2 linked regions of the Mytilus edulis genome follow. Each later gene encodes a partner of the first gene's protein in a complex. Links are inferred from orthologs where the notes say so. Each region holds a gene or a part of one and is shown on either strand. Other genes may lie near its edges. The genes, in order: protein dispatched homolog 1-like and sonic hedgehog protein-like.

The links.
Region 2: the proteins of protein dispatched homolog 1-like (region 1) and sonic hedgehog protein-like are in contact, whole or in part, in a cryo-EM structure (PDB 6TD6), measured with the Drosophila melanogaster proteins. The link is inferred for Mytilus edulis from reciprocal best matches to the Drosophila melanogaster genes disp and hh. Residues at the interface, in NP_524734.2 of Drosophila melanogaster: His77, His78, Arg250, Tyr253, Glu296, Ala404, Gln405, Ser406, Asn407, Arg408, Gly434, Asn755; in NP_001034065.1 of Drosophila melanogaster: Tyr100, Pro101, Val103, Leu104, Lys105, Gln106, Thr107, Asn110, Leu111, Ser117, Glu164, Lys165, Val168, Ala228, Gly229.

The regions. Positions count from the first base shown.
Region 1 is NC_092346.1:63,237,742-63,253,725, forward strand, and holds the start of protein dispatched homolog 1-like, read right to left. Parts: upstream 7,729-15,984; 5' UTR 7,634-7,728; intron 495-7,633; 5' UTR 451-494; intron 1-450. UniProt on the Drosophila melanogaster protein: Segment polarity protein which functions in hedgehog (Hh) signaling.
Region 2 is NC_092345.1:55,464,025-55,481,695, reverse strand, and holds the start of sonic hedgehog protein-like, read left to right. Parts: upstream 1-10,269; 5' UTR 10,270-10,321; intron 10,322-17,671.

The sequences.
Region 1 (15,984 bases):
CCTTGGCTCACACCGAACAGCAAGCTATAAAAGGCCCCAAAAATTACTAATGTAAATCCATTCAAACGGTCTAATCTATATAAAAACAAGAAACGAGAAACATGTATGAACTACATAAACAGAGGTTTTGAAACAGCCCATTGAACTTGGGTTTAAAATCTTGATCAAATTTGGTTTCTAAGAGCAACTGATGAGAAGAAAACATTGAAATACAAATAGGATTCCTTTTTGATGATGTTGTCTAGTAAATGTAAACTAGCTGTTAATAGTTTAATTTCATCTTGAAAAGTCAGGTAAAGAATGAAAGAACTAGAAATCAAATTTAGATTAAGTCTGATTGATATTTCATTAAATATAATATGCTTGGAAGAAAATTAAATACAGGAATTTCAACAACACTGAAAATATCAATGGTTAATTGTAGCCATTTCTCTATTAATACATACATACCTACATTTTAATCAAAAACTTTGGAAACTTGGACTTCATGGCCACTGAAAATGAGGTAAAAATATTGAAATTGGCCATTATTATATTCATATACCAAGATGTTTTAACGAAAAACAATGTGGATGATACAGTGTGGACTCAATTTTCACAATGCTGTAGTAACAGGTCTGTACAAACCAGCAAAAGGAGGTAAAGGGTTAAAAAAGCACATTGTATTACTTCTGTAGAGTTTGTTGAAATAAAACCTACAGGAGAAGCCAAAGCCTTGGGTGGACAGTGTCAGAAATTTTGTTTTGGAAAAATACTTCCAACAATAAAAGTAACATCAGAAGTATTTCTGTAATATTTAGTCTTAGATACTGTTTCCATGTCTTTTATTAAGGACATAAGTATGACAATCCAACAGAGACCATTTTAACTTGTAAAATATGATTCTAAAAGAAGACAAAACAAGGTCTGACAATGTTTAGTTCAATATGCAATTACTAAGGATGTGTAGAAAATTTCTTGACCAATCAGAGGTTTAGCAGGAGCAAGAAGATGAATAATAAAATGTTAATGAGTAATAAGATCCTAGTTCTCAAAAAGTGTCTGTCCTATTACTCCTCACTACAAATGGGAAAATCTACATATATAGTGCATGGTATGAAATTCCAATTAAAATTTTTTGGTTGATTAAACAAAATAAATATCATAATTATTTAAATTTTCTTGCAAATCACCATCTTTTCTAACAAAGGGTAACAATCTACAATTCAAAGATGAAGCCAGAATGTAACCCCTGGTTTGCATCTAGATGTTTAATCACTAGCACTTATATAAGCTGAGACGCACTATTTTCCACAACTACAAGATCAGTGCAGCTATTTATCAAATGTTTAGTGGAAAATAAGCTCGACAGCTACATTTAACTATTCCTACTATAGCTGTTGAGTAAAGAGAGTGTTGGATAACTTTAATCTGATATAAAGACTATCCATACTAGTGCTCAAAATTCCTCAATTTCATGTGTATGCTTTCTTTGAGGAAGTTTTTAATCATGGTACAGTGTAGTACTTGTATGTTTTCATATTATAACCTTGTTTTGCTTTTATACTGCATGTTCTTTGTTTGTTTTGATGCGTACTACTCTGTTTTGCTTTTTTATATTTTTAATATGTATTTGCTTTACACAATCAAATTAAAAAATCATGTTCTCTAATTTTTGTGCTATTTTTACATTTCCTGACAGGTGTGAGAAAAATATTTCTCCTCACTAGTGAAAAATCTGTTCTCGGCAAATGATTGGTTGAAATCTAATTGTGACGTTAAATTTTCTTGCGTTCTTCTGAATTTTCTTATTGTGACGTCATGAAAAAAGGCAACCATGCCTGATGACGTCACATCAAAAGTACACAACTTTTCTCAAATCTTTGAAAAGGAAGGATAAAAACCAAAAGGGAAACAGATTCCACCACTGTAACGTGTGTATTACGATATTTCTCCACTCTCAACAGTTAAATTTTAATTATTTAAAGAGCTCGGCAAGCCTTGCGCTTTAAATATTAAAATTTAACTGTCTCGAGTGGAGAAATATTGTAATACACTTGTTGCAGTTGTGGAATCTATATTTCTCCCACACATAAGCACCCTTTGATCAGTACATATTATTTTTTAGAGTGCAAATTTTAAACAGAGAATAGTCCATTTGCCAATTACCAATTTGATTTTGTTATTACACACTTTTTAAACGAATTACTTCCCTTTGTGAATCGTAAACTGGTTCCATACCGGACAAAATTGACTTTTGCCAATGCAAAGCATAGCAAATTGAAAGTGGTGTATCGGCGGTTCAACTTATTTTTCACGAAAAATAATTTCGCAAAACAAAAGCATTTCGCTTAACAACAATTTCATGTAATTAAAAGATTTGAAAACCTTAAAAATTACTCACATTAGGCAAAGGGAAATTTGCTCTTTCTGCTAGCTCCCCATTGTAAATAAAAATTAATGTCCCTCATAAGGGAGAAAAGGGGATCTCTATATATATAGCTAATAACAGGGTCAATTTACCGGAATTGGCAAATAGCCTATTGTATAAATAAAAATAATCACATTAAACAATCATCACGGAAAAGATGTTATCTTGGTCCTTAAACTAGGTGACGTCATAAGTATGCTTCCGTCATCAAACATAAATTCCAGGTGTTTTTTGGCTTCTTTGCCGCTTTAGAATGTAATACAATTTGATAAAATGAAGATTTTTAGGTGCAACATGTAAGTTCTTTTGCTTATTATTATAGAAATTACATGTTTGTACATTCCACACTTCAAAATGTCTGCTTCCTTAGTTACAGACAAAGAGATTAAGAATGAATTTTACGCTTACTGTCATCCAATCAGAACCATTGATACAAAATATTTGCATAAGAATATATCTATTGACTTTTTTTTTTTGTAGTCTCTCATACCAGGTAGAAAATACAAAATGTACATGCAGATAATTTTTTAAGTTTTTTGGGTTTGTTTTTTTTATTATTCTATTTTAAGGAGGCTCGAGGGTATAAAAATTTCAGAAACAATTAAACATTTGTTTTTCACTACAAATTTTATTTATTACCTTTTGTAGTTGTTACTTTATCATATGGTACAATCAAAGAGCTGAAAGCTCTGAAGAAAAATGACGCCACTGTCTCTAATATTGGGATAGTTTTTATGCAAGTCTTGATTTTCACATACCATAATTAGTTTAACAATGCAACATGTCTCGTAAGCATATAATTGATATTCGTATATGTGTGTGTGTGAAGTGAAGGTGCCAACTGGCTGGTGTTTTTTTTAAGACAAATGAATAGGTCAAGACTACCTGAATTGTACAAATAAATACCGTAGAAAGGCTTCTATATTTCTCACTGGTACATAGGCTAATCCGGGTCCGTTCGCGCCCATTCACGTTTGCGCCAACTCATGTTCGCCCCCTTTCACTTTCACACCCTACATGTTCGCAACTAATCTTAATTGGTTTTGTGTTTAATAACTCTGTAAGCAAGTGTTTTCTAATAAGTATAATTGTTGTCATTGTCTCAAAATAAAGTGAGACAGCATTTTTTTTTGTGTTGAATAAATCTTAATCATGTTTTGGATAGCGTATTGTTAAAGATAATAATAATCCTTTCTAAATAAAGTGGTATTTTGTCAACGTTTTATTTAGCGTTGAATAACTCTTAATCATGTTTTGGTTAGTGTATTGCTATACTTTGTTTCATTGACCTCTTTCATAATGAAGTGAGATTCTGACTATTTATTTTTCTGTGTGTTGAATAAATTTTGTCATGTTTTGGTTATAATAGTGGATTGCTATATTTTGGTTCCTATATATTTTATTGTTTCGTTGTTTCAGATCAAAGGGCTTAAAAACAATTATCTTTTGTGTTTTTCCTTTAAAATCTTCAATGTTTTACTCATACCAAGCTATAAATACATTCAGAATTTACACCAAAGCAATTTAAAACAACAATCATGATTTTCCAATTATTCAACTTGAATTTGAATTAAAATTGGGCGCGAATGAGTAGAGTGCGAACGGACCTTGGGTGTGAACGTGCGAGGTGTGAAAGTGTATTGGGCGCAAACAGACCTGATACCACATAGTCTGAACCCCCTTCTCCCGCAAAATATGAAGTAAATTAAAAACAAATTGTTCAGAGAACAATTGAAGTCTTTCCACTAGAAAAGATCTATTTTTATATTGAAATATGAAAAATCAGTTTAAAATGTTAGTTCCTATGGCTTTATGACGTCCTATTAACCTCTGACCTTGACCTCAATTTCAAGGTCACAAACCATGGACCTTGAATCAAAATATCCTAGGTCTTTAATATGTTTGGTTAATGAGTACTACCACTTGACGCATAATTTTAAATGTAAGATGGACAAAAACTCCCTTTTATTGTATGCGCAGCCTTTCAACCAAAATATACAAGTAAGGACATGTCGCAACTAATAATTTATGAAAAATTATTTGTCAAAATGTCATACAGTACTAGTATTTGAAAAGAAGTGAAAATAAGCCAAAATCAAAATTTATAATATGACCTTGACCTTTGACATTGACCTCATTTTCATTTTTAGTACCAATGACCTCATGAAGACCCTAGGTCTCTATCAGTTATGGTTTACCAGTTGAAAATGCATATCGCTTGAATCAAATGAAAAAGGGGGAATAACTCTCATATGGAGTCCCCATAGAGCTATGGTTCAAACGAATATTCTTATCCTAAATATGTAACGAGCAATTTGGTAAAATAAAATCTTTTACGGTTACGAAGGAGAGGTGGCCACAAGAAAAACAGTGTTTGGGGAGATAACTCTTACAACGTAATGTATTTTGTTATAATTACATTTGATATATGTTTCATTATAATACTTTATTCTGATTGGCTAACTGCACATCACATGTTATTCCTCAAGCAATTGCATCACTCAATAAAACTTTTCATTCATGATAACACGTGGTCCCACAATAAAGTGCACAGATGAATTGAATAAAAAAGTTATAAAATTCGTGTTTTCATGATCCTAGCTAAAAAAAGTAATTATAAGTATTGAATGTTTTTTTTTGTAACCTCATAGGGTTGCAAAAGCGTTGACCGTGTGCACATTTTTAGAATGATGCGCTTACGCTTACGCGCTTCATACAAAAAGTACTTCGGTCAACGCTTTTACACCTCAATGAATTTACAAAAAAAAAGCATTCAATACTTAAATGCAGTTGTAAATTTTTAAAGCAAAAAGAGTTAATACTAACTTTCACTTTTTTGGATGTTCATGTACATTTTGTATGTATTTATTTTTCTCAACTACATGAATTTTTTGGTGTATTTTTAATGATATATATGAGTAGTCCAAATAATTATTACGTCTGGCAAGGCTTTTTAAATTTTATTCTGGGACACCTTCCTATGACCACAAGGCTATGTTAATTTTTTTCTGGGACGCCTTCTTAGGAAGCCTTCCTACGAACGTCTTAGGAAGGCGTCCCAGAAAAAAATAAAATAGCCTTGTCAGACGTCATTATTATTTGGACTAATACATGAGATATTGGATATTTTTATGCATTATTTAACCAGTTGAGTCTTTTACAGGATTGTTTGTTTAATGCTGTTTAAACATTACTGAAAAAAAAACCACCTTAAATTTGCTAATTATTTGGCATGACAGTTTGATTTATTGAAAGGGACTCATAGTTTTCCATTTAATTTTAATAATTGTCTAATGGTTAAAACAATAGCTTCGTTGTTTACTTTTATACACAACAACATATTCACTTTGGTTTCGTTGTTTACCTAATATTCACTATGTACTTGGTAACAGTTATTAATTAATTGAATAGAAAATATTATAATAAATATTATTGGAAGCCGAATTGACGTCAAATAGGTGCCGATTTGACTAGATGCCAATTTAACCAGGTGCCGACTTGACTTGTACGTTTCAATTCCTCTGCGATCGTTTGCGGTATTTTCTTGAGAAAACCTATTTTCCATCATCAAAGAGAAGAAGAAACTGCTTGAAATGATTCCCGAACGCTTCGTGATTGTTAAAATTAGTTTAATTCACTCAAAAAACAATTTTAAAACTTGCGATGTTTAAACAGGAAGTTTCAAAAGCACGTGTAAAAGAAGAAATTAACCGGTGAGAGTGGAAATCCGTACATAACATATATCACTTTAGTACGACTTTTAAAGCAAAACAGTTTCATCCTTTTGTAAAACAGTCTTTAATATACCTATCACATTAATGTTTGAAGGGTCTTAAGCTTATTCAACCCATATAAGTCGGTATGAAACAACAAAACGGAATGATAATAACCGATTACGTTTTGTAGTTTACAAAATTCTGGACTGGTTCCTGTCAAACTACAACACTTTGTTCGACTGTAGTGGAATACAAACAGATACCAGTTGGTTTGTAAACTGGTTCCTGGCTGATTACTACACAATGCTCATGCATAATGATAACACAAGCACATTCCAGTTTGTATTGAAATTAGTAAATACGAAACCAAGCGCGGTAGGCAGAGAAATCAGGTCGGCAGTTATGGAACAATGACTGCGTCATTTTCCAAAAATCATTCAAAACAATCAATTCGTGTTGGCCCCAGATAACATTTAAAATGTGTACATCATTGAAAAAGTTCCAAATTATCTCCCTTTGGTGGAAAAATGCCCTTTTTTGGCTTTAAAATTGAAATATCTTTTTTAACTCATCGGTGACATATATTTTTTAATATAATTTCCATATAAGCTGTACTTAAACTAAATTATTGTAAAATTTGAGCTATTTCTGTAATAAATTTCTTTTTTTATTTCGATATTACCTATATTTCTCCTATTACTTCAACCACCTTTACAAAAATGTATGCTTCTTTCGAAGGCAGATTGTGAGCGCAAATGAACGGTGACCCCACTTTTTTATTTTAATTTTCTATTAACTATAAGATAAAGTTCATTTATAGAAAAATATAGAGAAATCCTATATAAATGATTTAGACCCGCAAACCCCCTTAATAAAAAAAAATCGACAATATTAATATTAATTATTATCATTATTATTATATCAGTGAGGGGGGTTAGGAGGGGTCCTGATCCCGAAATCCCGGGCTTAAAAACACGATATCCTGAAATCCCGGGCTAAAAAATACGAAATCCCGAGGTCTGGAAATTCGAAAAATAGAATTCCCGGATCCCGAAATCCTGAGCTTAAAAACACCTGATCCCGGAGTCCCGATAAAGGTCCTATCCCCCCTCATCAGTGGCGAATCCAGCCATTTAAAAAAAAGGGGGGGTTCCAACTATATGTCCCCATTTAAATGCATTAATCGGCCAAAAAAAAGGGGGGTTCCAACCTGGTATCAGTCGACTGGCAAAAATCTCAAATGCGTTTGTCAGTAACTTCGACATATATTCCCAGTGAAAACAATTTAAATAAACGTTTAATAAAAAATAAATCAAAATTAAACTACAAAGGGGGGGGGGGGGGGGGAGGGTCATTCGGAATACTCCCACTCAGGGGCACCCAAAGGGTATCCTGTCCACAAGTACCTGTGTTTGGGATGACATTTCTCGTGAAATTTCTTGTATGGCCCATGTATAATGTACTGAATGTTTCAGAAATGATATGTACAATTCATATAGATTCATACCCATGTCTTTGTGGGGAGTTTGACCAGACAACTATTGCTAAGACTTACAGACGAACCAATCCTGTAAAATATCTGGTAGCCTAACTTGGATGTATCAGGTACCAGTTGTACTGGTATAGCCAATAACCATATTCTTTTGTCAACACAAAGGTTGACCACTAAGGCCAACTTTGATCATATACATAGACTAGTATCATAGTGTCTAAGTTAACATGTATAACTACGTTATATGGACCCTTATAGGGGGCGGATTTAGGCGGGGGCAAAGTGGGAAGAGGATTGGCTCATGTCCAGCAGCAGCAAAGTGGGAAGAGGATTGGCTCATGTCCTTCCATCCGGACAAGTGTTCAGTCCTCCAAGTAACAATAAAGAAAACACCTCTCCCATATGACTACATCTTACATGGGCACACTTTGCAAAAAGAAACATCTACCAAATATCTTGGCTTAACCATACAAACTGATTTAAAATTTAACAAACACATAAATAACATCACAGCAAATGCAACTAAACAACTAAATTTTATCAAAAGAAACCTTAAAGTCAGCTCGCAGTCAGTTAAAGAAAAGGCCTATATCTCACTTGTGAGACCAAAGCTAGAGTATGGTAGCTGCATCTGGGACCCACATACAAAATCCCAAAAATCACAAATAGAAATGGTCCAAAGACGCGCAGCCAGATATATATGTAATCGATATCATAACACCAGCTCTGTGACAAACATGCTTAACCATCTTAACTGGCCAACACTTGAAATTAGAAGAATAAGAACAAGGCTTATATTTTTCTTCAAAATTATACACCACCAAGTAGCAATATACCCTACGAACTTGTTAATACCATCAGACAGTCGAACAAGACAATACACTCATAGTCACTCATTCAGGCACATACAGGCAAAAAAAGACTCATATAAATTTTCATTCTATCCTAGGACAATCGTCCAATGGAAACTTTTACCAGTTACTGCTGTCCAATGCACCACAGTTGAAACATTCAGAGAACAGATTCCTATATCTGTTCTCAACCAATACTACACCATGTAATGTAACACCTTGTAAATAGTTTTATCTTATATGTACAGTGAAAACCAAAAACAAGTTATTATTTCTTTATTCAATTTTTGTTGTTGATGTAAATATAAAATTGTAAATTTTACCCACGCATGCACGGCACATAGTCATCAATATTATGATGGAGTGCGGAAACTAAAAGAAGAAGAGAAGAGGGGGCGTGGCGGGCGTGCTCCCCCTAAAATTTGCAAAGCATGGATTGTCTTCAACTTATTAGACCCCCTTAATAAAGTATCAGTAGAGATCATTCCATCTTTTTTAACATTCAAAGTATATAAAACAGTCAGTTTAGTATAATCAACGTGATTACTCATCAACTGACCTACGATTTATTTAAGTCTCTATGTCTATATATATATTCAAGTCTCACTTGCAACCTAAACATTTGCCGAATGTATATGAGGGGGGGCAAGGGGTTTAACTGTTATGCTGTTATGGGGCAATTTAATTCTTTGTTATCTGTTATTCTGAAAACTTATTTGCTGTTAGCTGTTATTGTCTTATTCTTTGTTAGCTGTTGTTGGGCTTTTAGTTTTTTTGTTATCTGTTATTGTGATAATTAATATATTCGCTGTTAACTGTTATTGGAAATTGGAATGTTAGCATTTTTTGACAGCAATTAAATTTTCAGAAATTGAAGATTATTATACATTGGGGTCTACCACTACTAATATGTAGGTCCTGTATTCGGAGAAGGATTCCATTAACATATACCCATCACAGAAGTGAGGTCAAGGACAATTCCAGTATATCTTATGATTATCCTTTGTAATAAATTCCATTTTTTTGGAACATGCACATGTATTCCCCTAACGGGAAGGATTGTGCCTGATGTTCATATGATGAAATCATAATCTTTCAGTCAGTTTAATTGAAGTCTGGAGCTGGCATGTCAGTTAACTGCTAGTAGTCTGTTGTTATTTATGTATTATTGTCATTTTGTTTATTTTCTTTGGTTACATCTTCTGACATCAGACTCGGACTTCTCTTGAACTGAATTTTAATGTGCGTATTGTTATATGCGTTTACTTTTCTACATTGGCTAGAGGTATAGGGGGAGGGTTGAGATCTCACAAACATGTTTAACCCCGCCGCATTTTTGCGCCTGTCCCAAGTCAGGAGCCTCTGGCTTTTGTTAGTCTTGTATTATTTTAATTTTAGTTTCTTGTGTACAATTTGGAAATTAGTATGGCGTTCATTATCACTGAACTAGTATATTATATATTTGTTTAGGGGCCAGTTGAAGGACGCCTCCGGGTGCGGGAATTTCTCGCTACATTGAAGACCTGTTGGTGACCTTCTGCTGTTGTTTTTTTCTATGGTCGGGTTGTTGTCTCTTTGGCACATTCCCCATTTCCATTCTCAATTTTATTTAGAATTATCTTATTTTTTTTGTATGAGGATAATGTTCCTTGTTTCCCATGCGAACATATTAAATAAGAACAATTCTTTATATGACAAAAAGGAAAACATATGGTCAGGAATATCGTTCCCGGGCCCTACTAAACTATGTATTCTACTTACTAACATACTAGCCGATTAAAAAAAAAAAAATAATTGTTAAGATATATTATTTATTCAAATGTTCTCTTATATCCTTGAGGCATCGTCCCCTGGTATCAACTGCATTCAAGTTACCTATGATGCTTCCTTGTTTGCTTTTGATACAGGTAGGAAAGAGACATTTACACACATTTTACATGCCTATGGCCCATAAGGTATCGCCCCCTGGTGTCAGCTGCCTTTAGGAAACCATAATGCTTTCCTATTTGCTGCTGACACAGGATGAGTCATGGACATGTTTAATTTCTACTTTCTTTTTGGCTAATTATTATATATTTAATTGATCCAACTTTTTGTGTACTATACATATGTGGATATCTATTTTTCTTTTTTTCTTTTTGGGCTGCTTGTTTGTTATCTATATCAACCACACTTGCAATAAAATGCATTAGTATTTAAAAAAAAAACATACTATAGATTCTTTATCTACGTATTCTTTAAGAACTTAAATAGTTCTCGTTTAACTTTTTTTTTTTTTTTTTATCTCATTGTTTGTATTGTATTATGAAAAAATTATTGATGTTGTAATGTTTATGCCCTTTTGGGCCCATAATTGGAAAATAAAATATCTTATCTTATCTTATCTTAGTACACTTGGTGCAATCAAAAACCTAATAAAAAATTGTTCAAATTAAGCCTTTGAAAATAGTGGAATGAATTACTTTTGGAGTGTCAAAATTTTTCGAGGTACTTGATAAATTGCATGCTTATAATTGGTGCTTTGGATTTTTCTACCCTATATATACCACTTTGCCTCATAGTCTTATTAAGAAAAATTCACACACCTCATTAAATGGGCATTTAAAAAAAGTCAGAATGCGAATATATATATTCAAACTCTTTTAGGTCATTTTTTAGTAGCAACAAACACAAGAACTATGTCAATTGGACCTGCTTTGATACCATAACTGCCCTTGAATTTTTACTAGATATCATTTTTGTCTCTTTGACCCTCATTTCCATTCTCAATTTTATTACACACTATTTAAATTACAAGCATGTGTGAGTTTCTATAACTTTACAAAAATAAATGCTGAAAAAAGTATTCTATAACAAATAAACAGCTACGCCATGAGCGCATGATACGCCGTCTCCCTTTTTGAAATATTTAATAACTTCTTTATGTCATATCAGATATTTATAAAAATCGAAAGGGAGCTTCAGTCAATATATATAAACAACACACCAAAGTTTCATGAGAACTGCTGAAAACATTTTTAAGTTATTGTCCGAAAACTGGAAAATTATATACCATCTTTTTTAATGAATAAAACCCCTTAACTCAATAACATAAAATCTAAAATTAATGAAAATAGAAATGACTCTTACGTAACAACAATAGCTATAAACAATTCAGCAAAGTTTTATGAGAACTGCTGAAAACGTTTTTGTGTTTATATCCGAAAACAGGAAAATACCCGCTTTTTAATTAATAAAACCTCTTCACTCGGAAAGGTGAAATCTAAAATTTATTAAAAATTGAAAGGGGGCTCATGTCAATAGATATAAACAATTCACCAAAATTCCTTACAAATTTGTGAAAGGATTTTTGAGAAAAAAAAACCAACCATTTTTATTGAATAAAACCCCATTAATCAGAAACTTAAAATCTAAAATTTATAAAAAAAAACAAACGAAGGGGAGCTCATGTCAATATATATAAACAATTTCCCAAAATTTTATGCAAATTGGTTAAAGAGTGTTGGAGTTAATGTTCGACATGTTGACGACAGACACACAACAGTATTCCATTATACGTCCCGTAAATGAGGGTATAAAAATATATTGAGTAGTAAACACATTTTAAATACATAATTTTAAAAACATTCATTACAAAGGATTATACCTGCAATAAGAAATACTGGATTTGTCAAGGACCCGACTTTTTTTAATGTTTCATTTACTGTTATCTGTTTTTGTCCATTTTAATTCCTTGTTATCTGTTATAAGCCAAATGAAATTGCTGTTTTGCTGTTATTGGGGCCCCCTTGCCCCCCCCCCCCCCCCCCCTCGTATATGCATGCATGGGATCCCCATAAAATAAACATAACTTCGTAAATGCATCTTATTCTGATTTTAGTGGTTTATGGAACACAGTATATATAATGTCTGGCACGACCTCCGAAAATCAAAAAAAGTAAAAACAGATATTATAAGTAAGTAAGTAAGTAAGTAAGTAAGTAAGTAAGTAAGTAAGTAAGTAAGTAAGTAAGTAAGTAAGTAAGTAAGTAAGTAAGTAAGTAAGTAAGTAAGTAAGTAAGTAAGTAAGTAAGTAAGTAAGTAAGTAAGTAAGTAAGTAAGTAAGTAAGTAAGTAAGTATCTTGCTAAATACCAAAACATAAATATATGAAGCACTAATACGGGAATAATTTTAAAAATTTGCAGTTTCAATTTTTTGTTTCGGTAGTATGAAAGGACAATTCAGTAGAAATTTTCGTTTGCAAAATCTATTACTAGTATTGGTCAGGTGGGCTTTTGTGATCTATCTCGTCTCACTTTGCGTCCATCGGTTCGACCGTCTACACTTCGCATTTCCATCGTCTTAATCAAGTTTGCCAGGTCTGGTGTTATGGAGTGTCAAAGTAATTCTTAAAGGCATATATTGTCATAGGTGATCTAAGGTAAAAATAATTCAAGAATTCAAAATTGATACTTTAACCTGGAAGTGTATTAGTTAAGGATAAAAAAAGCTAAAAATATTGATAAGTCATGGAGCTCCTTTTCGAGATATTTGATTTATAAAATATGGCGGGGAAAAGCTGATTCGGACCTTTACCTTATATTTGCATTGTTGTGCATTTTATAGGGAAGACAATTTATTCTCATCTCGTCTAATACCAGCTTTCCATTAAATATTAGATGGATTGATTTGATAAAATATCCACGCCAATACTAGTAATTACCATTATATAAGGATGTGAAGGATTTAAGAAAAAATCGTTTCAGTTCAGAAAGCCTATCTTCAACTGGAAACATGTACTCTCAACTTTTTAGTAATTGGCAAACTAATATGCAATTCAATTAATGTAGATATAAAATAGAATTATCTTCTTTTGCTGTTTTTATGACTGGAAACAATTTAATATAATCATAATGTATGGACTTCAATATCATATTTTCACAAAGTATATGCAGTGGATCTCGTACGTAAAATAGGTTTTTTTTATGACTGTGGCTACATATATGTATATTGGAAACACACAATTGAATTAATAAGTAATAATAAAATTGAGAATGGAAACGGTGAATGTGTCAAAGAAAAACTGAACAACCCAACCAAAGAGCAAAAACAGATAAATGCCACCAATGGGTCTTGAACCCTACAAGAAAATCCTGCATTTGGAGTCGGGCTTTAGATGACCCCTAATCATGAATATACTAGCTCACCCAAAATGGACACCACAAAAAACTCTAAAATTCATAAATAAATCGACATTAAATAAAAACAAACAGACCTAGAGTCCCAAGTCCTCCGTGTTGCACATGTTTTATAGTGTATAAGGGCAATAACTAGATATCTTTAAAACCATTTCAAAATGTCTTCGAGATGTAAAGGCTTCAGAGCAAATGCAATGCGATTTCCGTTATAATCAATTTTTCCAAGAGGCTCAAGTTGACTCGTTTAAAATATTTGATAAACACTGATTTTCAAAAGTATCAAAGGCATTGCTGATATAAACCTATGATACAAATTTCACAAAATTCTGACACGAAATGTACATATGAGAGCACTATCAACGCAACTGTCCATACATCAATATATCCAAGGGACAATACGATTTCAAAAACCAACTAATCTGCACTGATTTTTTAAGTGTCGGCCTGAGACATTAATGATATAAACCTATTAAAGAAATTTTATTATATTGGTAAAAATTAATCACATAAGAGTGCTAATATTGCAATTTTCCTTATAATCAATATTTTCAAGGGTGTAACTCATTTAAAAATAATTAATCGGCACGGATTTTTTTAAATTGAACTCGTCCAAGGCATTGCTGATAAAAAAAAACCTGATATAAGTTTCATAAAAAAATTTACAAAAATAGTACACGCTAACGATGCAATATTCCGTATCATAAAGGTCTATAAGGGGCATAACTCTTTTGAAAATCAATTTTCAGCACTGAGACATTGCTAAAGTGTACCTATGATATCAGTTTAACAAAGAAATCTGTCAAGAATTTTACAGATGAGATTGCTAAAGATGCAACTTTCCATATAATCAATATTTCCAAGGGGCATAATTCTTATACACATAACTGATTGGCACTTATTTGAAAATTTGTGACGTCTAAGACATTGCTGAAATAAACATTTGATATAAGTTTTCATAAAAACCTGGCAAGAACTGAACACGCGAGAGCGCCAACAAGAACGGACGAACGGAATTATTGACGGATGTCCGATATTTCTATATTTGCAGTGGATAAAACCATACAAGATTAACAAAGGTTTCATGAAATCTCAACCCTGCCCCTATATCGCTAGCCAGTGTGGAATAAACAAATATAAACAAATACACACCAATACATACTGTGACAGTAAAACTCAGTTTAAAAGAAGTCTGAGTACTTTGTAAGGTAGCAGCTTTGAGCTCCAGACCTTTTTTTAGATTTTAGATTTTAAAATGCTATCATTTTCTATAAATTAAGGACGAAATTTACAAAACTGTCAATAAAATTCGGAACTGAGTGGCAAAAAATATAGAAAATCAAACTGAAAGTGCTTCTAAGCACTGAAGGGTACAGAAAAGATTGATTTTATTTATCAGTGGGAAGCAAAATAAAACATTGCATTGTATAATGCGATTCAACTATAAATATGGACAAAGGAAGATAAATCCAATTTTACATTTAACTTAAACAATGACATCATTGATATTTTAAGAACAGATACTTGCACAAATTATGTAAGGGGACGACCATTTGATATTCTGGGGGCCGGGCCAGGAGGATTTGTTTTTGATCGGTTATTTATTTTTGTAAACTAAGAGGACAGATTATTCTTTTTCTGCACTATTGAAGCAAGATTTTTCATTTTCATTAAAGCAAGGGACTGATTATTCATTTTCACAACAATATTTATGATATTCGAAAACATACAATTTTTATACGACCGCAAAACATTTTTGGGGATCGTATAATGGTATGATGTCGTAGTCTGCGTCGTCCGAAGACACATGGTTTCCGGACAATAACTTTAGTTTAAGTGAATAGATCTTTATGAAGGTTCTATACCCCAAAAGGAAGGTTGGGATCGATTTTGGGGATGATGGTCCCAACCGTTTGGGAATTAGGGGCCCAAAAACAAGAATTTTTCTAGTTTCAGGATAATAGCTTGTGTATAAGTATTTCAATTGCTCTGAAATTGTACCACAATGTTTAAAACCACAAGTAGAAGGTTTGGATTCATTTTAGGGGTTATGGGGCCAAAGTTTAGGAATTAAGGGCCAAAAAGGGGCCATAAACAGCATTTTTCTAGTTTCCAGACAATAACTTGTGTGAAATTGTATGGATCTCTCTGAAATTGTACCACAATGTTCCATATAACAAAGGGGAGGCTGGGATTAAGTTTTGGGTTAATTGCCCAAATTATATAGGAATAAGGGGCTGAAAAAAAAGGGCCAAAAAGAAGCATTTTTCTAGTTTCCAGACAATAACTTGTGTTTAAGAGTATGGATCTCTCTGACATTGTACTACAATGTTCCACACT
Region 2 (17,671 bases), on another chromosome or scaffold:
ACATATTATCAAGTTAAATTGCTGCACAGGTAATCAAGTTTAATCGCTGCACAGGTCATCAAGTAAGATTGCTGTACAGGTAATCAAGTTTAATTTTGTACAGGTAATCAAGTGAAATTACTGCACAGATAATCAAGTTTTATTGCTTCATAGGTTATCAAGTTATATTACTGCACATATAATCAAATTAAATTACTGCACAGAACATCAAGTTAAATTACTGTACATGTGACGACTGAATAGACTGCACTCAAATGTAGATTAAATACTTGGATGGGTCAAACCTAACATTTGTATTTTCTGCCTCTTCGTCATGAATGGAATATTTAGAGTATAACAGAGACAGCAGATGTAAAACAAAGACGGCTAGATGGCAGATTAGTAAGTCGCAGTATGGGAACATGTTTTCCTGTAAACCTTCTAAGGTAACACACTTAATATTGGCCTCAACGTGTTGGCTTAAAACAATGCAATTATTTTTAATACCACATTAACTGAAAAAGACCCAAGTTATAGTTGTTGTTGGGCGTCTAGCAGCAGTTATCACTCAACTAATGATTTTGGAACTTTATTCAAAGATGGGTTTTTATGTAATTAGGGTTTTTATTTAATTGGGAAAGCAAGAAGTTTTTAATTTGATTGATCAATTGATCAAAGAGTCAAATGCATTTAATCTTAACGAAATTCCTAAACTATCATAGAAAGTTTGGAACCCTGTCCTTCACATGGTATATCAATAACAAAACTGTATTCAATTTCCAGAATGAAGTTGAAGTACATAAATATCTGTTTACTAGACGACTTGTTGGGTCTATTACATGCAAATTGATTAATCAGACACTTTGAAATGACAGAAAACTGTAAAGATCAGAAAAATAACACGTTAAATGAAAGATTGCATGTTTATTGATCAATGTTTTCATAATTGCCGCAATACTTTTCAAAGACGTTAATTTCCATATTGATACCAGTTTTCTGTTGAGATGTCTGTTCCTCCGTACTTTTAAAACAGATTGACTACTATAAATGCCTTAACAAGACTGATATTCGTATCTTGATCTTCTATGATACAAATAACTCATATATAAACAACCAATTTCGTTAGGATTTGACGACATGTAAAGAAATAAAGAAACTTATTCCATTAGACGCAAGAAACTCTGCATAGTAGATAAAAGTTTGCTGTAAGTTGGATAAAATTTCCACGCCGTGTATATTGGGTTCAAAGCTTGTGAATTATCTTATTAATAGATGAATTACATCTTTTTTTACCTGATACTTGTAATTAATGTGCCGTTTTAGGCAATCAATGTCAATTACAAATAGATAATGAGGATAACTTTACATGAAGACGATCATTCTGTTCAGTAAAGGGTAAGTGGTATTTTTTAACTTTTATAAATTCCAGTTTAAATTTGAAGTCCGATTCAAGACTATATTAGTAGGGTATGTCATAGTAATTGAATACGTTTGAAGTAATATGATGATGGACAACACCTTACTTTGTCATTTAAAGTACTTTTTTCTTAAAAATTCATATTTTAATCAAACCTTTCTTTTTTCGACTTTTATACAGGTATTAATTCAGTTACTGCCTTTTTTCGTCTAATCATCTTTAATATGTTTGTTTTTCGTTTATTGTTATTGCATGTTTTCTATCTTAAATTGCTATATATTTTGTTATGATGGGGCCCTTTAAAACTTACTATACGGTATAGGTATTTCTCATTGTTGTAGGACCTATTGTAACCTATTGTTTTTATCCTCGTTCTTTTGTCTCTAGTGAATATTTGTCTAAATGGCAATTAAACCAAGTCTCTTTACTTGTGCATCTTTACTTTTAACTGAAATCTAAGGTTTAAATCAGAATACAGACAAGCTCACATGCAACTACAAGACTACAAAAAACTAAAGTACTGGATACTTTGATCATTGATTATGTTAGACTAAAAACGCCTAAATTTTAAATTATAATAGAACTCATTCCTGTACATGCATGAAATATTTGCAACTGGACGTTTAAAAAGCAACCAACAATCAATCAACCTTATAACCCCGTTTTAGAGGTAAAGCTTACTCAATATTTAGTTTGGTTATTTGTTTGATACGCCACAGTTTAAAATTGCTTCTTTTTTGGAGTAGAAAAATGTTGATTTCAAATCTTGACATTATTATTCTATTGGTTATCGGAGTTTCAAGACGTGTCTTTTGGTAAAATGTCAGAGCTTAAATAAAAAGGACTTCGATCCATTACAATAAGTTTAATTAATACTATGATATCAAAAATAATCAGACAATTTATTCCACTTTATAAAAATTTCGGATTCTCATATTTAGTGTCCGTCTCCTTCCCATGCAAAAAGAGGTCCTTTAGAGGTCGACTATTCGATTTTCTTTGAAGGGATAAACGGGTGGATATGGTATATTCATTTTCACTTGTGGAAGACCGGCTTATAATAAATTTTGCAAACGTGTAAAAAGTCATCTATTTTGAGTTGCATTATTGTAAATATATGTACCCAGTCCCTACAACATACTTATCTTTATCAGCCACTTACCACTTATATCATAACTCGAATAATCCAGTCGTTACATTCCGCTACTCTTCTCCGAGTTGGAGAGTCGATCATGGGATGGAAATGAATTATTCGGGTTACCCATCTCATATCATAACATTGATGCCAGAGGTTTTCTGCATTTTATACTTACACATCAGCTATAATAATCTAAATCCTCTAAAGGACATTCCTTTCATTTGTGATCAATTCAAAATAAATGATAGCTTTTTTTCATTTTATTTACATATATCGATATCATTAACGTAAAAAAAATACTACAGTAAAACAAAAACAAAGATTTATCAAATGCCAATTAGCATTAGGTGTCAAAATATGGATCACCAATTTTAATATCCCTTATTATGAATAAATGTAATTTTAGTTGTGGATATGTATGTGTGTTGAAGTATAAATGGGGAACTCCAAAAACAGTGTGATCTTTGAAAGAAGTCATAATTTGAAGTTAATTATTGGTGGTAAATCATTCGAATTGGCGCGCGAGCGTTTTGTCTATTTTTTTCTTGTCATTGATATCTCTTACAAAAAAGATGAAATAATTACAAATTCTAAGAACAATTTGAAGCTCGGAAGGGTTAAATGAAATAAAGGCAAATACAGCTTACATTGTATTTCTTTATTCAGTAAATAAACTTATAACGAGTACATTAATTGGACACGCACAACAACAATGAAAGCCTTATAGTACAACAACAATGAAAGCCTTATAAAGAGAACGTATGATAGTGTTTTTTTTTCGGGGGGGGGGATTTGAAAATCAAGCATAAGAGCTCACAAAAACATTAGTCTGTCAGATATTGGTAAAATATATTTGATTTTATTTTGTAACTTATTTTAAAATATATTTGATTTTTTTGGTAACTTATTCAATTTACGCTTTAAAAGAAGAATTGCAATAGCTGTTTAATGTATCTATTTCCGAATATTGAAAGTAGTTAATCTATCGACTTCAATCAACTGTCAACAATTGAGATGTGGGTTGGAACCCTGCTTGTAACAGTTGCGTTCGATTCCCATCTTAATTAAAGAGGATTTCAAGTTTTCTTGTCGAAGGTTGTTTGTTTTCTCAAGGTACTCTAGTTTCCTCCACCAACAAAACTGGCCTTCATAAAATAGACAAGAGTGACGAATGTGACGTCCAACAACAACAAGTAATCAATCAAGGCCATAATTCTTTTCTTTTGAGATCTGTTCTTAATATTTAGTTATAAACGATAGCATAATTTCAAATGGTATTTTGAAAAGAGGTACATGTATCTGCTACAAAAATGTCAATATTGTGCTTTCCTGCATCCAAAATGTTCTTACTATTATTTGTGCTAGTTTGGCGATAGTGTCAAATGTGTTTTCTTAATGGGAATGCTATCTTATAGATTAATTTTGCAACTTGGAGCCTAACTTCACAAGCTTTGACCCTAGAAACGTATATTTAATAATACCTTTCGATTAAAGTAAGTTTAAATGTAGCAAGACAAAACAACTCTTGACAATCTCATAATATACATAAATGTTGACTGATATCGAATTGTTCATTTTTTTTATGTATGAATGAAAACAGCTGGTTTGTATCAATAAGAAAGCAACGCAACAATTGGGCAAAAAACAAGGGGTCAAACTACGATAGACAAATACATGTTTCACTTGTGAAGCTTAAATACGCCCCGAGACTGGACGAGATGTACTTACATTTAACATAGACTACCACAAATCTACCATCGACGCCAAATTCTTTACGCACTTAGTCAGTTATACATGTACAATGCATAGTCATTTTAGAAAGATAAAATTGTAGTTATAATATCGATAAAAGACATATATACATGTACAATACCTAGTCATTTTAGAAAGATAAAATTGTAGTCACCTTCATAGCGAGTACATATAAACTTATATATTTTAAAATATTGAAAGTATATAGAATTTATCAAGCAAATTGCTATGAACGTTTAAACAGTCACCGTTTATAACTCTTAGTCGTCATATTTTTTTCTCTCATAGAAATCGAGTTTGTTGGAAAGACGACTGCGAAAAGAACCAAAATAAACCGTGACGTAAACCTTGATATGAATTTATCATTTCGCTACATAATACATTTTTTTATATAGACTAGACCGTTGGTTTTCTCGTTTGAATGGTTTTACACTAGTAATTTTTGGGCCCTTTATAGCTTGTTGTTCGATGTGAGCCTATGCTCCGTGTTGAAGGCCATACATTGACCTATACTGGTTTACTTTTATAAATTGTTATTTGAATGGAGAGTTGTCTCATTGGCACTCACACCACATCTTCCTATATCTAGGTATAGAAGAACTATATCAAAAGGCGCGACAATTATTCTTTTTTTTTTTAAATTGTTTATATTAGAAAGTTAAATTACCAATGTTATTTCAGAATTATACAACTGCCGGTGTTCCCGACTTGGGAGAAGTACATACACATGTAGTTTAGCTGAACTAGCTTTGTGAATACCCAACTCTCCACCTTCTTTAATCAATCTTTAGGCCAACAGAATAACGCACAAGACGTCATATAAAAACATTTAATTCAAACCAAACTTTCATATGATAGAAATATTACAGACGCCAATAACAATATCTTCAAACAATACCACACCAAAAATGCTGGCAGTAAGTTTAAGTAAACTGAAAATACTTAACATGTAGTTTTCACCTTCCAGTTGCTCTCAATGAACCTTTTTCCATGATAATTAATCGATTTTGGCGCGGCCCTAAATTAACCTTAGTAATGTCCTGTCAAATATTTCTTACGGCTACTGTATGCATCTGAAGCAATTGTAGACAGTACCAGAGGCTGAAATAATTATACAAGTCAAGTGTGACTGAAATTTATTACACCAATGCATTACTAACTTGTGTATATTCCCTTAGAGGTACGATTAGTAAAAGTTTTTTTTCACTGAAGACGTAAAACAAGGTCATATCATACCTTTTCTAAAAAAAGTTACAGAACATTTTGTTAACCTCCTTTTTCCACATATTTTATGATCCAAATGTGATGATGAAACGTTTGCAGTGATCTTCATTAGGTATGTTCGAGATCAACATAAAGGAAAGGCTAAAATACAGATGTACAATTATAGTCAAAACAGATCAAATGGTTCTCAACAAAATCAGTTGCACATATTTGCATCGATAAGATTTTTTTAAAACATTCTATGCTAGCAATACAGAAATACCTACCTGTAGGAATAAAAGAGGAGTTTGATATTAACTAGTTCTGCAGGTCTTGAAAATATTTTTTTATCCGTACAGATCGGAATCATGCTTAAACTTAAACAGTCCGTTTATAAAGAGTAAACAATAGCAAACCAAAAGTAAAGATTGGTGGCCTTCAGCTGTTGTCTAGCTGCTCTATGGTCGGGTTGTTGTCGCTTTGACACATTCCCCATTTCCATTCTCAATTTTATTTCTTGCTTTATAAGTATGAAATACTTAGATTATACAATCAAGTACTGTTCAATTTATTTCAAAAGATTGTTTCTACATATCTCATTAAATAGATGTCTTTATAACTTCTTGATTTGACTGATTGATGTTTAACGACAATTTAAACACTTTTGTGCTACTTCTTGGCGGTCAGTTTTTCTTTGGTGGAAGAAACCAGAGTGCCCGAAACTCCTAATCAATTTAGATTATAGTCGAATGCCACTAGGCCACCGAAGCCCCCTATTCATTTTTTTATGAAAACATAAACTTGCTTAAAAATCATATCTTAAACATCTTCAATCCATGTTAGGTTCGGCTAAAGCGATTTTCACTGTATATGGTATGTCGAACGTAACTAATTTTTAACGACAAGAATATGTTATTCTATAGTTTGAAAAATTGATAATGATGACATAAAAATCATATTGTTTTCAACATTTAGACTATAATATCGCACCTGAACATGTGTTTTCAGACAGAAATCGACAACAACAAAATAAAGACCACACAACATGGCACAATGAAAATTGATGGGGAAAATCTATTGAATCATATACAGTAAATTAAATCATGAAAATGATATTTACCAGCTAATGCCTCGTTTAACATCAATTTTACGGTATATTATTTCTTGACAACTCCGACTGCATTAGCAATGCATTAAAGGCAGTGTACACGGTAGAGATTTATTTACAATTGCACATTCACTAAGTTAACACGATTATTAATAGCCTTTTAATTAATTTAATCAGTTTGGTGCACCACCTTTATTGACTGAAATATCACACAAGAGATTCGTTTAACAATTATATAAAATTAATCTATTTTTGATTCGGATTTTTTTACTAGCACGACGTCAATAAATACTTATCTTGGAATGTTTTAAAGTGGGGTACATATCATTTGTCAAATTTGCTAACACTGATTCAAAAAGCGAATAGGAGGGAGCAAAAAGTAAAATAATAAAAATACCGAACTACGAGGAAAATTCTTATAGGAAAGACCATAAGCAAATGGCAAAGCACAAACACATCAAACCAAGAGATAACAACTGTCGTATTCCTGACTTGGTACAGGATTTTCGAATGTAGAGAATGGTGGATTATACCCCGGTTTTATCGCTAGCTAAACCTGTCACTTGTATAACGTGACATAAAAAAGGCCGTTAGTTTTCTCGTTTGAATTGTTTTACATTGCTATTTTGGGGCTTTTTATAGCTGACTATGCGATATGAGCTTTGTTCATTGTTGAAAGCCGTACGGTGACCTATAGTTGTTAATTTCTGTGTCAATTTGGTCTCTTGTGGACAGTTGTCTCATTGGCAATCATACCACATCTTCTTTTTTATACATAAAATTTATGCAAGCCATATTAAAGTGAACCACTGCTGGTCAATACTAGAAGCACAGGGTCGAAGATGTAATTAAGCAACGGGAGAATTAGAGGTATAACATGGAAAAAAATACCGTCACGAAGTAAACATTACCGAAAAAGTGTTCATAGAACAAACATATACGATTGTATGGGAACCGTTGCGTGCTAAGTTTCAATCGTGTGAATAGATTTTAAACTTTAAAAAAATAATTTGAATTAAATCCAAAAGTTTTTGATAAATAGGAGTGTTCATTTTTCAGTAGTATGCAAAAATCCTAAAAGGTATTGATAATCAGATATAATTGAATGCTAGAGACAGATCATGTTCAACCATGTTAACCACAAATCATTTGAAGATATCAAAGATTTCAATCACTTGAAATGTGTATCTGTGCCTTATTTTAATAATTACCTAAAGTTTTTATTACGTTTCATGCTTTTTTCCAATGATAGGATAAATGTTTTTTTTACATTATAATCTATATAGCTATAGATACTGTTGCAATTTTGCAGATATTTGGAATTTGTTTGCTTTCAGTTTATGATATACTTATATATAGTAGTTTTATAATAAAATTAGTGTAATTAGTCGTCGAGCTACAGCTTTCAACAAGATATTTAACAATTTGCTTCGTAACTTCTTATTTGACCATGAAACAATTTCATGATTATCGATACCAAGTACATATACGTTAGACGTCTTAATACCGAAACAAGGTTAAGACGAAAATGACCCGCTTTTAACCTGTTAGGCTCAAAATTGTTTTTGTCACCCACGTGACAGTAATTGAGGGTAATAATGGAATTACATGCTGTGACTTATCAAATCATTGTCTATCAAAGATGGAGTTGCAACGTAGTGATTGACATTAGTAGTTGACATTGTAACTTAACATGTGGTACAATTGGAATTTTATCATATTATGGTATTTAAATGCTGACTTTATACATTGTATGAGATCATCTGAAAACAAAGAATTTGTCACCTACGGTCACCTAGACATATCTTCTATTCTACACTTGAAGTCTTAGTCATAATCAATACTCTATCTGATTGTGAATTATTTATTTTCAATGATATATATGAAGCATGTTCTGACTTTAGTCACATTTACCACACTTTTCTTAAATTGTCCGTTGATAACTTAAGAAGACATTAAAAAAAACGAAGATTCTTGCTCCCTCGGACAAATTTTACCTTTTAAGGATTTGAATTCTCTTAATTGTCTCATTTTGGTTACAAAGCTCTTTCAATAATCAGCTTTAAATACATCTTTGGTTTTCAAAGTCAGGGATATGAGCTTTCCCTGATGAGGATAAAGTCAGAAACACAAGAATTTTTGAAGAGTTATTTTTATTTTTGAATTGTACAATTTGACTTCAGAGTTGTCTACCTTTAACTAGTAAGAAAAACAAATGATCAGTTAAATAAAGTCATATACTAGTAGTCAAATTACTTAACCTTAAGTAGATTGATCTTAGTGACATTGATAGATTTTATGGTCAAGGTACAATAAATTGGCCAGTCACAGATTTAGATATGTGTTTGCATAAGTTTACACATACTTTGTATTTGTCAATATTTTTTTTTAATTTGGTCCTCAATGCTCAACTTCGTACTTTTTTTGGCCTTTTTAACTTTTTGTTATTGGGGTGTCACTGATGAGTCTTTTGTAGACGAAACGCACGTCTAGCGCAAATACTAAATTTCAATCCGGGAATCTATGATGAGTATATTTAAGGCCTTTCTATACAAATCATTCAGGAATATTTGTATAAATAAAAGAGATAAATGCATTATTGTTTTCGAATTTAATTGTAGTTCAACTGGCCAAAGTTGAATGCAAAATTTGACCAGAATCTGTGACATGGTTCCTTTCCTGAAACAATGTAGCACTGTCAGCCAGAAAAGCTGGAACTGCTGTTCTCTATTGACATACCTTAGATATACCCGTCTTATATTGGGTTTGTCCTGTTCAATCTTTTGTTTTTATGTGGTGCTTTCTTTTGGCAACTACTTTTTTCATCTTTCATAGACTCAGCTTTTTTATATGTATTTTATTGTCTTCTCCCTTTTGTATGTCCTTCTTTCACTCCGCAAGTTGTACAGGTTTTCGCTGAAGTTTAAATTGTATCTTTGTCTTTTTGTTATCCAGAATTCAACAAAACTGTATGATTGAAGTAGAAGGTATCAATCATACATTCCATTGCAAAATACCCTTTTGTAAAAAGTAAAATAACAAATATACCGACCTCCAAACAAAATTCCAATCGGAATGTCCTTTTTAAAGTGGCAAAATCAAACACATACAAAGACTGGAAAACAACTGTTATACTTTTCTTATCCATTATCAGCAGAAATATCTCCTTTTTTATCAGACCTAGAGAAACTGGAATGATATTTTATAAATTTAGTATGACTGACTCTACAATTCATATGCATACAACTATTTTCTTTAATGTCGATTTTTGAAAACTTTGTTGCTCTTTCTTGCAGGATTATACTTTTTAAAGAAAATAAATACAGGGAATAAAAGAGATAAGTCATATATTTATATTCGGTTAAGGATTTAAAAAGTATTAAAAAAAAAAAAAAAATTCCGAGGAAATTGCACATAGGAAAGTCCCTCATCAAATGGCAAAATCAAAAGCTCAACCACATCAAACGAATGTATAACAACTGCCATATTTCTGACTTTAATCCACCCCCCCCCCCCCTTAAAGATCAAATACAATAATTTTGACATCCTTGGTGTTCTGTTGAGGTCATCTTAAGTTTCTGTAGAGTGTAAACAGTAGCGTGATCAGTGTAATCTATCTGTATCTTTCCGTTCGCACTTTACGTAAGGCTATACCTGTCAATTGAAACATTTACCTTTATATTACTTGATTTTGTACGGACTGGATTGTAATATTTTCATTAAAGTAAGTTGATTTTTTATTAGGATATTTTTTTTAAACATTGTTTACAAAAATAAATCGTTCAAATTGTGGAAACAAAAAGAATATCCAATGTATTTCTCTTTTCTCAGTAGCATATTTTTTTTTTAAATTGATGGAAATTATTTCTATGATGATTGGCATAATATTTTCAAGAAAAATAAATTGGAAACACAGAAAAGAATAATCAAAGATACCAGGTTTATAATTTTGTAATTCATACATCAAAGATACCAAGTTTATAATTTTGTAATTCATACATCAAAGATACCAGGTTTATAATTTTGTAATTTATACATCAAATACCAAGTTTATAATTTTGTAATTCATACATCAAAGATACCAGGTTTATAATTTTGTAATTCATACATAAAAAAACCAGGCTAATAATTTTGTAATTTATACGAGCTTGTTTTCTACTACAGACTTTTCAGTGGCGCTCGCATTAAAACAAATGGTAGGCCATATATAATACGGAGATTTAGAGCTTTTAATATATGGAATTCCGAAACGTTATGCCAAATACAGCTTACACAATCTACCTGGTGGTAAAACAACCTTAGTGTTTGGAATAGTTCAACAATGAATACATTGATATAGGAAGATGTGATGTGAGTGTCAATGAGACAACTCTCCATCCAAATAACAATTTATAAAAGTAATAAATTATAGGTCAATGTACGGCCTTCAACACGGAGCCTTGGCTTACACCGAACAACAAGCTATAAAGGGCCCCAACATTACTAGTGAATTGTACATTGTACATTTACAAAAAAATGAACACTTCAATGGTGTTTCATGTCAACAAAAACATGGTGACTTCTGGGTTTGTGATTATCTCAGATACAAAACGTCCACACCTTCATGGATACCAATAATCACCCGTCAAAAGCCTATGAAATATGGTTTCTCGTTGATGAAGACCATACGTTGCCTATACTATAAATGCTTACATCCACTTCATTTGAATTGTCGTGGGTAGTTATCTAATTGGCAATCAAGCAACTCCTCCTTTTTTATGCAAACAAGTTATGATTTAAAAACAAATTGATAAAAAGATAGTTCTAGATCATAGTGTTATTCGATATAAAATTGTTCATTCTAGCTTCGTGGAACTATTTGGTTGAACCAAGCGCGATAACTCAATAGCATATAATTGATGGATATTCTGATGATGTATTTGAATTTGGACAGTATTTTAAGTTCATTTGGTTTCTTTAACAGTAAATGATAAACCTAACAATCGTGTTCCGGAGCACCTGAGATCACCCCCTTTAGTTGGTGGGGTTCGTGCCGCTAAGTCCTTAGTTTTCTATGGTGTGTCTTGTGTACTTATACTTGTCTGTTTGTCTTTTTCTTTTTTAGCCATTGCGTTATCAGTTTATTTTCGATCTATGTGTTTGACTGTCCCTCTGGTATCTTTCTCCCCTCTTCTGTAATAGTTTGTCGGTTCCAATCTTACAATTTTATATTTATCTCGTTAGCTTTAAAGGCAGTTGTTTAAATTTAAGTCAGAATGATACAGAGAAATATAATGTTAAATCTTATTCCATCAATAACAGTTGTATTGTTTTGCGGTATTAATTATTTTGTTAAGGTTCTACTATTTCCACGACTTTTTTTGAATGAAAGTATTGCAAATGCAACATCTTGATTGCCAGGTATGAATTACATTTTTAGATTAAAATGAAATATAAGTATGTAATGATTCACCCTTTCATGTGCGATTCAGTAACTACCTAAGTAGCATACCTAATCATATTGTTACACAACTGTTCCGCATTGACGTCCACTTAATGTCATTAATGATAAATTACTATAAATTATTTCAGGGTATTGTATGGTATATCAAACTTAAATTTAGAAGTTAAGGATTCGCGACGTTACATTAATACTAGTAATAGAGTCGCACAAAAGCCACTTCTTAGCATATTTTGAAGACCGTACGTTACCCTATAATTGCTTAATTTTACAAATTATGACTGGGATGGAGATTTGTCATATTGGCACTCATACCACATCTTCTTATATATATTTAAGTAGGAATTCAATAATTTCTGCATATTAAATTGGGTTTTGAACCGGTAAATATACAGCAGCTGCCCGAACCGACAAATTTATTTAGTACAGTGCTTTGTTTTGCATTGTGAAACTAACTTATTAATACTTAATATGTTTCTTTACCTATAATGCTCTACCCATTTCTTAAGCTGATATTTTGCTTTTTTTTGTACATGCATATGTTGCATACTATGTTCGGAAGATTGGACTGTATGAATCCATTAATGCAAGTCATAAACTCAACCATACTTCTCTTCTATCCAATTCATAAATCGATGCCACTGCTGGAGGACATAAGGTTCATCCCGAGGAAATCACTCGCGCATAAGTATCAATGCTTCTAATAAAACTTTGAATCAAATTCGAAACACTGAGGTTTTTCTACCCTCAGACGTAGATGATCTATCCGTATTTGGTACATATTTTTTGTTTTTTATATTCTTCAACTTCGTGTTGTATTGAGCCTTCCAACTTTTTTTTAATTCTAGCGCCAATAAAATGTCGTCGTATCGGTATGTAAACAAAACGTACGTCTGGTAATGAGTTTTTTTTTTTTTAGATAAATCTTAATAGAAAAAAATGACATACTTTCTAGGTAGGTTGCTACACGATATCCGCTAATATATGGTATGGTTATTGCAGTGTCTTTGTGTTTTGCTGTTTTTAAGGTTGAATTTAAAGTTCGCGCTGTTTTTAAGGTTGAATTAAACTTCGTTTTTAAGTAAATTATTGCTTATATTTTATTATTATCAAAGAATGCGACGTATGTAACTTCTTTTAACTTATAAAAAAAGACTTTTTTATAAACAGATTTTTTTTTAAAACCAATGATGAATGACAACAATTTGCTTACAAAATTTATGGATATTCATGTATGTTATTGTGTTATTCTTGTTAAAAGTTATTTCAACAAATCACTCAAAATGAAATGCAAAAATAAATAAGAGAAATTCAAACTATTTACGCAAAAACATATGAGTTATGATCATTATTATTGGAGCCTCAGACATTAGTTTTTAGTCAAGTTAATAAATTGTTTTTAGTGTAATACAACGCAGGGTTTTTAATTATACACACGAGTACATGTATACTAGTTAAGCACAAACGAATAAATAACAAAAATATTTTACAATGTGAAGACAGTCGTTTTACATGATACAGACAATTGCGATATCAAAGTGTATCCCCTTTTTGCAACTCACTGATGACTTTCCGCAAGGTTTTTTTTACATTTTTCTTTTTTCTTTTTTCTAAATTATACAAAGAATTTCAACCTTACAATTAAATTTGAAAAAAAAGTTTAAGAGATGCCAGATCATTTATTTGCATTTTTTAAAACATTTTCTACATCTAAAACATTAGGATAATTATAACAAATTTATCACTTCTTCACATTTTTGTAGAACCATTCAAATACTCCATCGATCTATTCAACAACATAAAAAACATGAAAAAGGATCAGCATAACAATAGAGTTACTTCCCTTTATATAGTAATACTAATTAGGGATAAAACTATTCCACCAATGATTTTCTGTATAAACAACAAAAACTAAAATAAGCTATGACTATACGGTATGGATTTTGTTTGCCAGCTATGCATACCGTCTCCCATAATGGCTTATAGCCACATTCATTTAAACTCTGATGGATTGTTGTCTTATTTCAACCATATCACTTGTGCTTGATGTTTTAAGCATACAAAATGTTATAGTTCCTAATAATTGGAAGGCTCTATTTCAATATTTCTGAAATTGTTTTTTAAATGACAGCGTACAGTATAAAACATTGCCAAAGTACCAATTTTAACAGAATATGAAACTGATTTCAGCGGGCAAGACACATGTTTCTGAAATATCTTGTAACAAGTTAGTTCAATACTATAAATTTGGAAAGGCCTTAAGGATGTACTTAGGTGAGGTTTTGGAAATTGGTGTCATATGTTTGGACTCCTTGCTTTTTTCTACTATATAAAGTAAAATATTTTGCCCCATAACACCCATTTTTCTTTTTATAAAAGACTTAAATAGCTCATAAAAGGTCATTTTCCCAAAATTTAAGCAGATTCTTGATTTCTGTTCGATCGATTTGAGACCAAAATAATACCAATTGAATACCGAGTCAGCCTTTTGCCGCCATTTTTTAAAACTCAAATATCTCGAAAAGGAGCTCCATGAACTATCAATATTTTATCTTATTTTGTTCCTATACTGGTGCTCTTTCGACTGCTAGTATATATTTTAATTTCTTGATTTTTAAAATTTCACCTTAGTATATCCTTAAATAGTTATCAAAGGTACCAGGATTATAATTTTTAAAAACGCCAGACGCGCGTTTCGTCTACATAAGACTCATCAGTGACGTTCAGATCAAAATAGTTATAAAGCCAAACATGTACAAAGTTGAAGAGCATTGAGGACTCAAAATTCCAAAAAGTTGTGCCAAATACGGCTAATGTAATCTATTCCCGTGATAAGAAAAGCCTTAGAATCATATTCAAAACAGTGTGGCTTTGGCCATTGATTGACGACCTTAAAATATCCCATTGACTGGGACAGATTAGGTGAACGCTTGTCTGTAACGATCACTGCTCACTACATACTTATTATAGAATTTAATCTGTGGGGTCACCAAAGGTTCTAAACGCCTTTAATGATTAAAAAATCGAAAAATTAATCAGGAATAACTTCATGTTTTGATTTATATTATTGATAAAAGTCAAAACATCGTGTTATTCCTGATTAATTTTTCGAATTACTTTATTTAGGTTTTGAGAACCTTTGGTGGCCCACAGTTTTAGTATCTTTCACAAGTACATAGTGAGCAGTGATCGTTACAGACAAACCTTCACCTAATTTGTCCCAGTCAATGGGATAATTTAGGTCGTCAATCAATGGCCACAGCCACTGTTTTGAATATGATTCTAGTTTTTTTACTTATTGTAGAATTTAAACTGTGGGGTAACCAAAGGTTCTTAACGCCTTCAATAATAAAATAATTCGAAAAATTTATCAGGAATAATCTTTATGTTTTGATTTATATTATTGATATAAATCATAACATCGTGTTATTCCTGATTAATTTTTCGAATTACTTCATTTAGGTGTTGAGAACCTTTGGTGACCCCACAGTTTAAGTGTCTTTAACAAGTACATAGTGAGCAGTGGTCGTTACAGAAAAACGTTCACCTAATCTGTCCCAGTCAATGGGATAATTTAGGTCGTCAATCAATGGCCACAGCCACACTGTTTTGAATATGATTCTACATAGTGTTGTAATTTTAGTGGTATTTGTTAACATTGTCATAAAGCGAAGTTGGGCTAGACATTAAACAAGGTTCAACCCACCTTTTGTTTTGCCCGTCATTGTTCCTGATGTTCCTTTGTTTTCCTCTTATAGTTGAGATGTTTCTCTCGGTGTTAGTTTGTAACCCGGATTTGTTTTTCTCTCAATCGATTTATGACTTTTGAACACTGGTTTACTACTGGTGCATCCATTTATTCAAATAGGTTTTTTGATTGACAGCAAATATATGTATGGACTGCAGCAAAGGTATTTTGTTGTAAGACTGTTGTCAATATCTGCAAAATGAAATGGAAGATATGAAGAGCTAGTGTTTTTATGAATACAAGAACGTTTGCGACGAAATTCAAGTACATTGTTTCTTATATTTGACAGACTGTGTCTTTAGAACATATAAAGTACATTATTAAATTTTTTATTCTGTTTTTATTAATCCAAGTGGTCAAAATTGGTGTTATCACTTCTTTTCATCCGAAATAAAAAGTAAAAAATAATTATTCCTGTCATAAACAAGAATAGATTTAATTATTTCCTTAACTTTATGCCTTAAACTCGCTATATATTTTTTTCCATCTAAGACCAGCTGAAGTTCAATTTAGTCTGTTAAATATCGTTTGACTATTGACAACTACACATTAAGTAGTACCTAACTGACACCCTTGTCAATTGACTAAAATTAAGTATTTAAAGGAACAAAAAGATTCGTTTTGTACCATAAATACTACCATAGTCGACTTCATTAAAAGATTTATTAGATAGACAATATCTATTTGACACTGGTTATTTTATAACATGACTGTCATGTGATACTGTTGTAAATCAGCTGACTATGTCACACTCCACTTAATTTCAGTTGAACAAATACAAAATAGTATTTAAAGTTAATTAAATTAAACAAATTATCTTTGACAATATTGTGACAGAATGACAGTGTAGTGTAATAAACGGTTGACCCAAGGAATTGTCCTCAACGTTTTGACTGTCGTAAAAATAGTTGCTTTTAAAAGTATGAAAATGCATCTTCTAAACTTATGAGTTATATTCGTACAGTTCAGCATCCAATATGTTAATACCTGTTAATACATCCTAACTTTTTAAAAAGAGGGACGAAAGATACCAAAGGGACAGTCAAACTCATAAATCTAAAACAAACTGACAACGCCATTGCTAAAAATGAAAAAGGCAAACAAACAACAGCACACATGACACAACATAGAAAACTAAAGAATAAACAACACGAACCCCACCAAAAAAACTAGGGGTGATCTCAGGTGCTCCGGAAGGGTAAGCAGATCCTGCTCCACATGTGGATAGTTTAAGGGAATACATTTAACTCTATTCCATAAAAATGAAAGTAACAGCTTATGAATTGTTTGCGTTCGAATGATTGTATCTTTAAAAAATTGCAATCCGAAGATGTAAAACTTTCTAAACATACGAAGAGCTAGTTCATCAAAATGAAAATGCAAGAAGAACCACTTACAATCAACTTTGCCTGACGAAGTTGGAATCTTTTTTTTTAAATCAGGATCTAGATTTTAGATGAGTAGCCTTCTAAAATTTACTTCTACTATAGTTGTAGTAAGTTTTCGTTTATCGGACAAATAACTCCAGAAAAGTCTGATGTTTATAGATTTATATTCATAGCAAATATCAGCTTCTGAATCTGATGTATATTTTCTTCAGTTCTGAATCTTATTTAAAATGAGTTACGATTTTTACTGATTACGTAGTACTACTTTCGATTGTCAAGTTTGGTTGATTCAGTCAATCCTCAGAACATTGTTTTTGTATAACGCTATGTTTAAAGCTTATGCAATTGTTTTGTTTTATGATTAATCATTATACTAAATATATATAGTATGCGTAAATTTATAAAACAAAAGACCTCTTAGACAATATTTGTGGGAAAATACTGAATGAACAGAAATGAGTCGTACTAAAAATGTTATTGATAATTATATACCGATAG